Coturnix japonica: one gene and its partner. The protein of the gene in region 2 interacts with the protein of the main gene of each other region in a pairwise test. Links are inferred from orthologs where the notes say so. Each region holds a gene or a part of one and is shown on either strand. Other genes may lie near its edges.

What was found. The genes of interacting proteins can lie anywhere in the genome.
Region 1: the proteins of ID1 (region 2) and MYF5 interact in binary tests that used the Homo sapiens proteins (3 or more experiments, as listed by UniProt). The link is inferred for Coturnix japonica from reciprocal best matches to the Homo sapiens genes ID1 and MYF5.

What each region holds. Positions count from the first base shown.
Region 1 is NC_029516.1:36,350,689-36,356,586, reverse strand, and holds the start of MYF5 (myogenic factor 5), read right to left. Parts: upstream 3,517-5,898; 5' UTR 795-3,516; coding exon 288-794; intron 1-287. Other genes in the region: MYF6 (myogenic factor 6), read right to left, coding at 4,008-4,126, 4,234-4,324, 4,528-5,046.
Region 2 is NC_029535.1:9,035,301-9,039,531, reverse strand, and holds ID1 (DNA-binding protein inhibitor ID-1), read left to right. Parts: upstream 1-1,991; 5' UTR 1,992-2,044; coding exon 2,045-2,359; intron 2,360-2,512; coding exon 2,513-2,554; 3' UTR 2,555-2,783; downstream 2,784-4,231. UniProt on the Homo sapiens protein: Transcriptional regulator (lacking a basic DNA binding domain) which negatively regulates the basic helix-loop-helix (bHLH) transcription factors by forming heterodimers and inhibiting their DNA binding and transcriptional activity.

The DNA of each region.
Region 1 (5,898 bases), on a different chromosome or scaffold from region 2:
AAGCCTCCCGGTAGAGCGGGCAGTGGCCCCTCGGGTGGGCTCCAGCGGGGTCGCGCCTCCCTCCCCGCACACGGCCCCAAGCAGAGGGGACAAAGGGCAAGCAGGGACCGGGGCTGGGTGTCCCAAAGCCCCTGTGCAAGTTCAGCTCTGAGAAAGGGCCGGTGGGAACCCAAACCGTCCTACGTTTTTAAATATAACCCAAGCTATCCACCTTTTCCTGAAGTCCCGCTGCCAAGGGCCCTTGCTCGAGCCCATTGTGAGCTGCCCTCACCCTGCCCTGCTCTTACCATCGCGTCGGAGCAGCTGGAGCTGGGGCTGGTGGGCTCGGAGCAGCTCTGTCCCGGCAGGTGATAGTAGTTCTCCACCTGTTCCCTCAAGAGCTCCTGGAGGCTCTCGATGTACCTGATGGCGTTCCTCAGGATCTCCACTTTGGGGAGTCTCTGGTTGGGGTTGGCCGTGGTGCATCTCTTCAAAGTCTCGAACGCTTGGTTCACTTTCTTCAGCCTCCTCCTCTCCCTCATAGTGGCCGCCTTCCTCCGGTCCATGGTGGTAGATTTCCTCTTGCAGGCTTTGCAAGCCCACATGAGGCAGTGGCCGGCCTGGTGGTGCCCACTGGGGGCCCGGATGTGCTCCTCTTCCTCAGGGCAGGCAGGCTCAGTGGGTGCAGGGGCTCCGAAGGGAGGCAGCTCCCTGGGCTCAAAATCCTCGGGGAACTCACCCTCAGGGGATGACAGGCAGGAGCTGTCATAGAAGAGCTCGGATGGGGAGAACTGGCAGCTGTCCATCACCTCCATCTCTTCGTCCTAGGCAGAAGTGTGGGCTGGCAGCTCGCAGCTCAATGCAGCGATTCCCTCTGCAATTAGCGACCCGAGACAAAGTGGCCTCCGGCTGATGCGGGGCCCTATTATATATGCGCATCGTAGGAGGCTGGCCCGCAGTGGCCCGACTCCATTAGCATATCCCCCGCAGCCCCTGCAGGGCTGGGCAGGCCCCCTCTGGCCCCCAGGGGGCTGATTTGCTCTTCACCCGCCTTCGGGCAGCAGACAAGCTGGCAAGCGGTCTCTAAAGCCTACACCAATCTGGGGAGCTTGGAGAGGGAAAGAAAAAGATGGGCAGTGAGTGCATGGGCCATGGACATTCCCCACGTCAGCCCCTGCATCACCTTGCCATCACCAAGGGGAATGAATCCCCCCACACCCACAGTGCCTGCTCTCCTACCCCTGATCCCACACCCCAGATCCAACTCGACATGATTTACTCCTCTTTCAGCACTCACATTCACCCACTGATCTCAGAAGGCACTTTGTGCTGTAATTAAAGCTACGTTCCCACAAGAGAGGAGAACAAGGACAGATAAGTGTAACGAGGAGCGAGCAAACAGATGTTAGTGCTCTTGGGTTGGGTCAGACGGAGAAGCGCTCACAAAGAGCGTTTGCTGCCAGACAAACCCCTTCCCATTGCTTCTCCTCCGTGTGCGACCTGATGCTGCTGGAGACACAACAGCCGCACAGTGCCCCGGGCCCGCTGATTTTCTGCTTTCAGGCCAACTCGCACCGTTACAGATGCGTCCCAGCTGCCGGCATAACAAACCCCTCCTGGAAGTGTAAAATTTCTAACCCCAAACCTCTCGGTAACTTTACACAGGGCAGGGACAAAGCCCCGCGGAGGCCCAGCCGCTGCAGTAGCGAGCAGAGCTGCGCAGGGGTCATTAGAGCGGTAATGAAGCCATTTAACAGGCAGCTGCTAATGTGCGGGAACCCTTTGGTTTCAGCCAGGTGGCTTTGGCGGTTGGGGAAAACATTAGGAGACTGTAAAGGCAACTTTCCCTACCTGGGAATAGAATTATGTGATTAGGCTACCGCAGAAAGAGGGAAAGGAGCCTGCGGTGATTTGGATGGAGTAGAGGGCCACGGGGCTGCGGAATGGCTGCGGGAAGGGGAAGGAAGGGGCATTGCCACCCTGCTGTCTGCAGGAGCCTTGAGAGGGACACAGTCTCAGACACTGCGCCCACCCAAAGCTTCTGCACCTGCCTGGGCAGTGAGCAGGGTCTGGGGTTAGGATCTACCCCTGACCCTTGTGGACCCCTGCCCTGTACTCTCATCCCTCTACTGCCAAGGGAAAAAAAGAAGAAGAAAAAAAGGAAAACAAACAAACAAACAAAAAAATGGGACAAATTTTCTATTCTTAGGCTGAAACTTCTAAAGGAAAGTGCAAACGTGTATGCAGCCTTCAATATGAGAAAGATCTGGGGGCTTTGGGAGGGCTGTGTCTTCACTGCAGTGGCTTATTTGAGTCCATAAGTGGGGATAACCCCCTCTGAAAGGAATCCAGCAGGGAAAGCAGAATGTTGCTATCACGACTGAAGTTACAGAGAGGCAAGGCTGGGCACGTCGATCCTGTGCCATGGGCAGCTCGGCCGTGCCCTAAACCGCCGGCCGGGAAGGCTGAGCTCCGCGGTAACGTGAACCCGTCACTGGGATGTAGCTCACCCCCCCCCCCCCCCATTTGATGTACGACGTTCGCTCCGGCTGAAGGAGAGCCGTGTACAGCTTTGTGTACAAACACACTCGCTCCTTATCGGGCCGGCGCTGTGCGTGCGGGGCGGCGGGGCCGGGGCTGAGAGCACCGCGGTCCGTGAGAGGCTGGGAAAGCATCGCCCACCGTGCTGGGCTATCGGGGGTTGGGGAGAGGGGAAGCTGTGCAACACAAAGCATGTTCTGGTGTCCCTCGGGAGCGCCCAGCTCCTCTGGTAAAGTGATCTCACAACAAATTTCCACAAGTGCGGCAGGCGACTGGAACTAAACGGGAGGGGGACGCAGACACACACACGGCTACAGGGGAGGGGGCTTCCAGCCCTTTGCAACAAAATGCTTCTGACGGAAACAGCGGGGTATGCGGGTTTGGGCTGCGGGATCGGCCCGTTGGGGCAGAGTTGTGTCCGTGCGATGCCGCACCGAGAAAGACGCGTTTGGTCCCCGTGCACCTAAGTAAACACATCGCTACCTGCCGGGGGGGGTCGGGTGGGGACAGCTGAGGAAGGCATTGGCCTCTGCCGGCACTCCGGGACTCCCAGGAGAGATCAAAGGGACACGCGGGGGCTTTTAGCAGCCTTGAGACTGGGAAAGTCGCAGTTCCCGCTGCCGGAGGGCTCCCGGCGAGCACATGGCCCCGTTATTTGCCTGCTCATCCCCCGCCCCCCGTTCCCATTCCGCTGCCCGTTTGCTTCAAAAACCGTCCGCGCTCTGCAGGCAGCAGCAGCCGGAGCGGGCTGTGAGTGCTCGGTCGTGCCTGTGAGCGCCGAACGGGGGGTGGTGGAGCGGGAGGGGGCACCTGCGTTAGTGTGATCTGCAGAACAGACGTGATTAAACCACAGACCTCGTTCCGATAATATGATCCAGGGCCCTGTTTTGGTTTCGGGCTTGGGTATTAGTTATTAGTATCGAACCCAAACGCTTCAATTGCAATCACAACGAAGCACAAGGAAGCGCGGGGTCACGGAGAGCCCCGTCCGAAGTGTTCGGCTGAAACGGGCTGCGGTCGCGGAAGCTCCCTCGGGCTGAGGGGGATCACCTGAGGGACCGGGTTTAATGAGCAGGAGGAGAAGGCGGTAACACAAAGAGCTTTATTTTACAGTCAGAGGAACCCGTTCTTATATACAATATCACTTCCATCATTTAAATACATATCTGTCATGTTTACAAAAGGCAGTACTGAAATTATTTACAGACGGGAAACGAGACGGGGGTCGCTCTTTAGCACGACTCACAAGAAACGCAGCCAAACGGCTTCACCCTGACAGGAATGGACTGCTCGGCGACCGCTCCGCCGGTACAGCGCTAAGTACCGTCAGTTCAAGATAAAAAAGAGGATGGGGGGTGGTCTGTGGGTCAAAACTCGGAGAAAACAAAACGGGAGATAGAAAGAGGGGTGAGAAAAGAGTCCGTACGGCTCCGCTCTCCGAGGGCCGTTCCGCCGGTGGGAGCGTGCCCCGAGAGGCGGCCGGAGGCTCATTTCTCCACAGCCTCCTCCGCGCCGGGCAGCTTGGGCTCGTCGGAGGAAATGCTGTCCACGATGGACGAGAGGCAGCGCAGGCTGCTGGAGGCCGACGACTCCACCATGGAGCCCCCTGCTCGGCGGGAGAGAGGGGTTAGAGAGCGGGAGCGGCCGGGAGCCGACAGAGGGGTGGGAGCGCCGGGCTGTGTGTGAGCACCGGGCTGTATGTGAGGCCGTTACCTGCTTTGGGGCTGCCCCCCAGCCCGCGGGAATGCTCGGCAGCGCCGTGCCAGTCGGAGCCGCAGGTGCTCAAGAAGTCGGAGCCGGGGACCTGCGGCGGGGCGCGGGCAGAGGGGACGCTGCGTTAGCGGGGCGGGCGGCGGCGGGGCTCGCGCGTTACCCCGACCCCCCTCGTTCCCCCCCTTTCCTCCCCCCGCGGCCGTCAGCCCCATGTCAGGGGGAGGAGGAGGGGAAGGAGGGAGGGGAGCTCGGGCCCGCAGCTGGGCGCCGGAGGGAGCGAGCCGCCGTGCTTACGTTTCCTTGCTTGGGGCTGAAGCTGAAGGGATCCGCCGCCACCTCCTGCATTTTGTCCTGTTGATCCAGCCTGTGAAGCAGGTCCTGCAGGCTCTCGATGTAGCGGATGGCGCTGCGCAGGATCTCCACCTTGGGCAGCCGCTGGTTGGGGTTGGCCACAGTCCGTCTTTTCAGAGCCTCGAAGGCTTCGTTGATCTTCTTCAGCCGCCTCCGCTCCCTCAGCGTGGCCGCTTTCCGCCGGTCAGTCGGGGCCGACTTTCTCTTGCAGGTTTTGCAGGCCCAGATGAGGCACTGGCCGGGGCAGTGCGGGGGCTGCAGGCCCGGTGGGGCCAGCACGTGTTCCTCGCCGCTGCTGTCGCTGCCGGCCTCCGGCGGCAGTTGGTCCTGACACGGGGACAGGGTGCCGTCGCTGCCCGGGTACAGCGGGGAGCCCTCTGCCATCTCCAGCTGCTGCAGGGCCCCATTCTCCCCGTCCAAGTAGAAGAAATAGGAGCCGGTTTCGAAAAGGTCCATCATCATGCTGTCCCTCGGCCCCTCTGCTTGCTCCAGTGGGGTGGAAGGCTCAAAAACACCCCGAGGAGCAACCCAGATGGAATTTAATTAGTGCAGTGACATAAGTCCCCACTGCTTTATATATAGGAGCTACTGAAACCCTATCCAACTTTTAGCTGTCGCGGTGCATCACCCTCCAAAACTGATTCCAGCCAGTCTCCTGGGCGCTGTCCTGAGAACATCTCCTATTTAGAAGGCTGGGAAGGAGGGGGCACACGGAGAGGGAGGCAAAGAGAAGAAATAAAGGAAAACAAACGACAAAGAGAAATGCCCCCCCGGGAGGCCTGTGAACTTGGGACGAGGTGGTAAGGAGGGGGCTTGGGGAGCTGTGTCTGAGCCCAGCAGGCAGCTCTGCTGAGGGCTGGCAGGGAACACAGACACAGGGCTGCCTGCTGAGCCCTCCCCAGCCGCACACACACACGCACAGATACATACACACACACACACACACACAGCACCCACTTCTTACCCCAGTGCCAAGTATAGGTTTTGTAAAGAGGGCTTTCAAAGGCAGCCCTGGTTCTCCAAACAAAAGGGTGAATATTTTCAGAAGCTCCTGCTATTCCGGTAGCCCCCTCGAAGCATGCCATTCGTGTGACCCACAGCTAGCCCAAGGTTAGGAGCCAGTCTCACTATTCCTCCACACACGGGGGAAGGCTGCCAAGGCAGAGCCGTGCTGCAGAGCTGAAGCACCTGTGGTTATCACACCCTGGTGCAGTGTTTTCCTTTGAACTTTCCGATGTTTCCTGGGAGATGACAGAAGTTAATTCAGGTGACTGGGTTACAGCCTAATGGGGCTCTCTGGACAGCCCCTGTCCT
Region 2 (4,231 bases):
GGTCCGTCCGGTGCCGCGTTGGGGGGATCGGCCGGACGCTTTGATGTGCTGTGCTGCTGGGCAACCCCAACACGGCGCAAAGCAGCCGCAATCCCGGCCAGGCTGCGCCCCGCCAGCGCCATATGGCCGAGACCGCTGTTACCGAACCGTGCGCCCCTTTCCCAGAATTGAGATGGAAATGAAGCCATCCGTCTTGCCCTGCACACACAGCGGCACAACCGCTCCCAACTGCAGCCAAACCAGCGGCGAAGGGCCGGTATCTCCATCATCCCAAGTGCCAAGGGGGTCCCTCAGAGCCACGCTGCGGGATGGGGTGGTGGTGGGACACCCATCGCTGTCCCCAAACCACCCGGGGTGGCCGATGCTCCGCGCTGGCTCGTCCCAGCCGTGCCGTATTGTTGGCTGCGCAGCTGGCGGGCGCCCGGCTGTGCTGAAAGGCATTCATTGCTGTGCACAATGTCCTCGGCCTCCCCGCCGCGGCCGGGCCAGCGCCGCCAGATGGGGGCTAATTAGTGGCTTTGAGAGCCGTGGTGGGAACCGGGCAGCACCAGGCCCTCCGCGAGGAACTGAATGGAGGGGGCGACCCCAGAGCTGTGCCCACCCTGGGAACCGCGCCGGGACAGAGGGACGGCGACAGAGGGGCTGGAGGTGCTCACAAAGGGTGGGGGTGGGGGGGCAGAGGGATGGAGGGACTGGGGGATGCTGCTCTCCCAGCCGGGCTGGCAGGGCAGAGACGGAGGTGATGGGGTTAAAGGCCCATCGTGTGCACGGCTCTGCAGGGCTGCCCCTCTTTGCAGAGGAGGAGGATGAGGGGAGGCCTTCGGCTCACTGCGTGCCACAGGAGGCTGCTGCGGCTCCGCATAGAGCCAGGGATGGAAACTGGGGGGGCGAGGGGGCTCTGACCTCCAACAAACCCCTGCCATGAGGGCAGGACGGCTCGGCTCCCTGCAGCCGCAGCAATCCCTGCACACCGACCCCATGCAGCTGGATGCACGTGCATCTGCCCATGCATGGGTCTGCATCTGTGTGTGTGTGCCGTGCATGGGTGTGCAGCTACAAGGTGTGAACCTCATGCACACACCTACGTGCCCACTTGTCCACACGGTTCCCGGAGGGGTCTCAGCTGTACCGGGGGGGGGGGGTCCCCGAGCAGCAGCCCCTCTCGATGCCGCCCGGCCCCCGCTGAACCGTGACCGCACCTCCCTGCAGGTGCGGGCTAAAAAGGTAGCGATCATTAACGCTAATTAACGCTTAGATCGGAAACCCTTTAGGGCAGGGACCGGGTTTCTGTTTTCGTCTTCAGACCGCACGAATGTTACCGCCACCCAACCGGCCCCAGGTGCCGCTCACCGGGGTGTCTCCTTGTCCCCACGGGGGTGGTCGTGTCCCGTTCCCGGTTCCGTCTGCAGTGCCCCCCCCCCCGCCCCCCCGCCCCACTCCGCCCCCGTCTCCATGGGCGCCGCCCGCCCGGCGCCGCGCTGACAGGCGACGGAGTTTTATAATGGGTGACGTCACGGCACTGGCGTCTAACGGTCTGGGGAGCGGGAGGAGGGGGGGGGGGACGAGGGGCCCGGGGGCTGCAGGTGCGGGGGGTCGGGGATGGGAGGGGGAGAGGGACAGGAGGAGAGGGGCTGCGGGTCTTGGGGTGCGGAGGGGGCACCGGGCTGGGGGGAACCGGGGGGTGCGGGGATCCCGGGGGGTGCGGAGAGAGACAGCGGCGGGAGCCCACGGTGTCACTGCCCACATGAAGGGTCTGGGTCGGGCCGGGCGTTTCCAGCTCGTATCCCGCACCCCGAGAGCATCACACCCCCTTGAACCCCCCTCGCATTCCTGAGCCCCCTCCCCACTCCGCTCTGCACACCGCGGTCCCTTTAAGGCGCTGCCCATGAATGGGGCCGGCTCAGCTGTCCCCGCCCCCTCTGCGCTCCTATTGGTCAGCGCTCTCCCGGAGGCCCCGCCCCCCCGCTGGCGGCGCTCTATAATTGGCGCAGCGCGGCACGCAGCTCCCACGGCCGCCCGCAGGGTCCCAGCGCCGCCGCTCGCAATGAAGGTCGCCTCTACCGCCCCGTCGCCGCTGCCCGCCGGTCCCGGTGGGGCTCTAAAGGCCGTTCGACCCGGGGAAGCCGCTCGTTGCGGGCCGGGACCTGGAGCCGTCGCTGCCGAACAAGCGGCCGCAGCGCTGCTGTACGATATGAAGGGCTGCTACTCCAGGCTCCGGGCGCTGGTGCCCACGTTGCCGCGGCACAGGAGGGTCTCTAAAGTGGAGCTGCTGCAGCATGTGATCGATTACATCTGGGACCTACAACTGGCTCTACAGCCCGGCCCTGCCCGGCCCCCGAATCCTGCTGAGCCCCCAGAGGTGAGTGCGGCCCCTCCCGGCCCGATGGACCCGCTCCCATCCTCCGTTCTCCTGTCCCGATCCTCCGTTCTCCCATCCCGATCCTCCTCCGCTTTGTGCCCCGTTCTGTGCCATCCCCATCCACACTGACCGCCCGCTTTTCCCCTCCCGCAGGCTCCGTGCATGGCCGCTGCCGACCGTATATTGTGCCGCTGAGAGACACCGACACGGACCCGAACGGAGCCCCCCCCCCCCCATAAGGGCACGGACGGGACCCGCATCCGAGAGCACGGAACGGACGCCCCTACGGAGCCGACGGCCGCGGCTCGTAACCTTCTCAGATTGCTGAGAGCATTCCATGTATTGTATATTACAATGATGCTGGAGAATATTGTTCTACAATAGCTGGAGTTTTGTTATTAAACAAGCCCTGATTACCAGGCAAGCTTCTTCCTCGTGGTTGCACTGTATGGGACTGTGTGGGGCTGGGGGGGAATCTGGGCACGGAGCATCGAACCACTTGGAGCCCATCTGTGTGCATGTGGTGTGGGAGCACTGGGGCTGGGTGCTGGTGCTGGGCTGTTCTGGGGCAGGTTGATGGAGTGGGAGCCCTGGGATGGAGCAGGGAGAGCATTGGGTGCACCTGGATCCCAGCTCCTGAGCTGGCCATGGGTTTTCCTATACACCCTGCAGGGCTGGGGGCTCTGGGTTGGCTCCTTGCTTCCCCCGGGGCAGCCATGCCTTCCCGGTGGGGGGTTTGTGGTGCAGGCTGCTGGCTGGGGCTGTCTGTACTGCATTGCTGGGGCTGTAGGTGTCACATCCCTGTCCCAGCATCGTACTTGTGGAGCCAGCTGCTTTGCCCTGGGATCACCACGTTTTGCTCAATCTGCCCTGGGTTCTAATATGGTTTGAGGCTGAGACTGGGCTGGAGGGAAGGAGGTTCCAGCCACTTCGGCTCCTGCCGTGGGAAATAGTATGAAGGCCCGGAGCTGCCCCCTGCAGGTGAGTGCCGGGCTCAGGGCTCCGTGCCCACCTGGGTTCTACACCTCGGGGCAGGGCTGAGCCGCAGCTGGGCCATCATCGGGCAGCTCCTGGGCCTGCCCTCACCCCGCAGGGCTGCCCGTGGCTCCCCCATGACTCACGTACTGTCACCTGTGAGTCACTGCAGCAGCTGGGACACAGCGTGGGACAGTCCCCCATGTGCTGCCTGGAGCTGCAGCAGCGGCTGTTGTGCCCGGGATGCTGCGGTGCTGCCCGTGCAGCTGCTGCTCAGCCCGGGGATCACGGTCAGGATTTGAGCGACATTCCTGGGGAGGGAAATTGCATCGGACACGGTTGTGTAACATCGGGGCTGTGGTGGCACTGAAGAGGTTTGTGTGCTCACACTGGGTACATCCCAGAGCAGGATGGGGGGCAACCCGGGCTCTGGGGGCTCCATCTGCACCCCCCGGGCTGGCTCCATGTGTTCCTGCCCGCAGTGCAGTGATGTGCCCTGAGGGGGGGGGGGGGTGGCTGTGTGTCCCACTTTGGCTGGAATAGAGTGGGAATGTGGGACCCCCATCACTCCTGCAGCCCCATCCCTGTGCACAGCGTCATGTTCACAGCCCTGTGTGCGCTCTTCCAGCACAACCAGCCCCTCTCAGCACAGAAGGGAATAGAGGGAACCGTGGTGTGGCCCGACCGAACCCACCTGGTACCGGCAGCGGGGGATGCGGGTCCCTGGGATGGCCCCCACCCTCCCGTTGTCCCGGCCCCATCCAGCACCTCCCCTTTCCAGCCCTTCTTTCCCGCAGCGCTGGGTCCCTCTCCCGGTGTCCGCTCGCACTGCACGGCCCGACCCTCGGGGGCTGCCCGGAGGGGTTTAGTGCTGCCCGATGGGGAGGACGGGCCGTA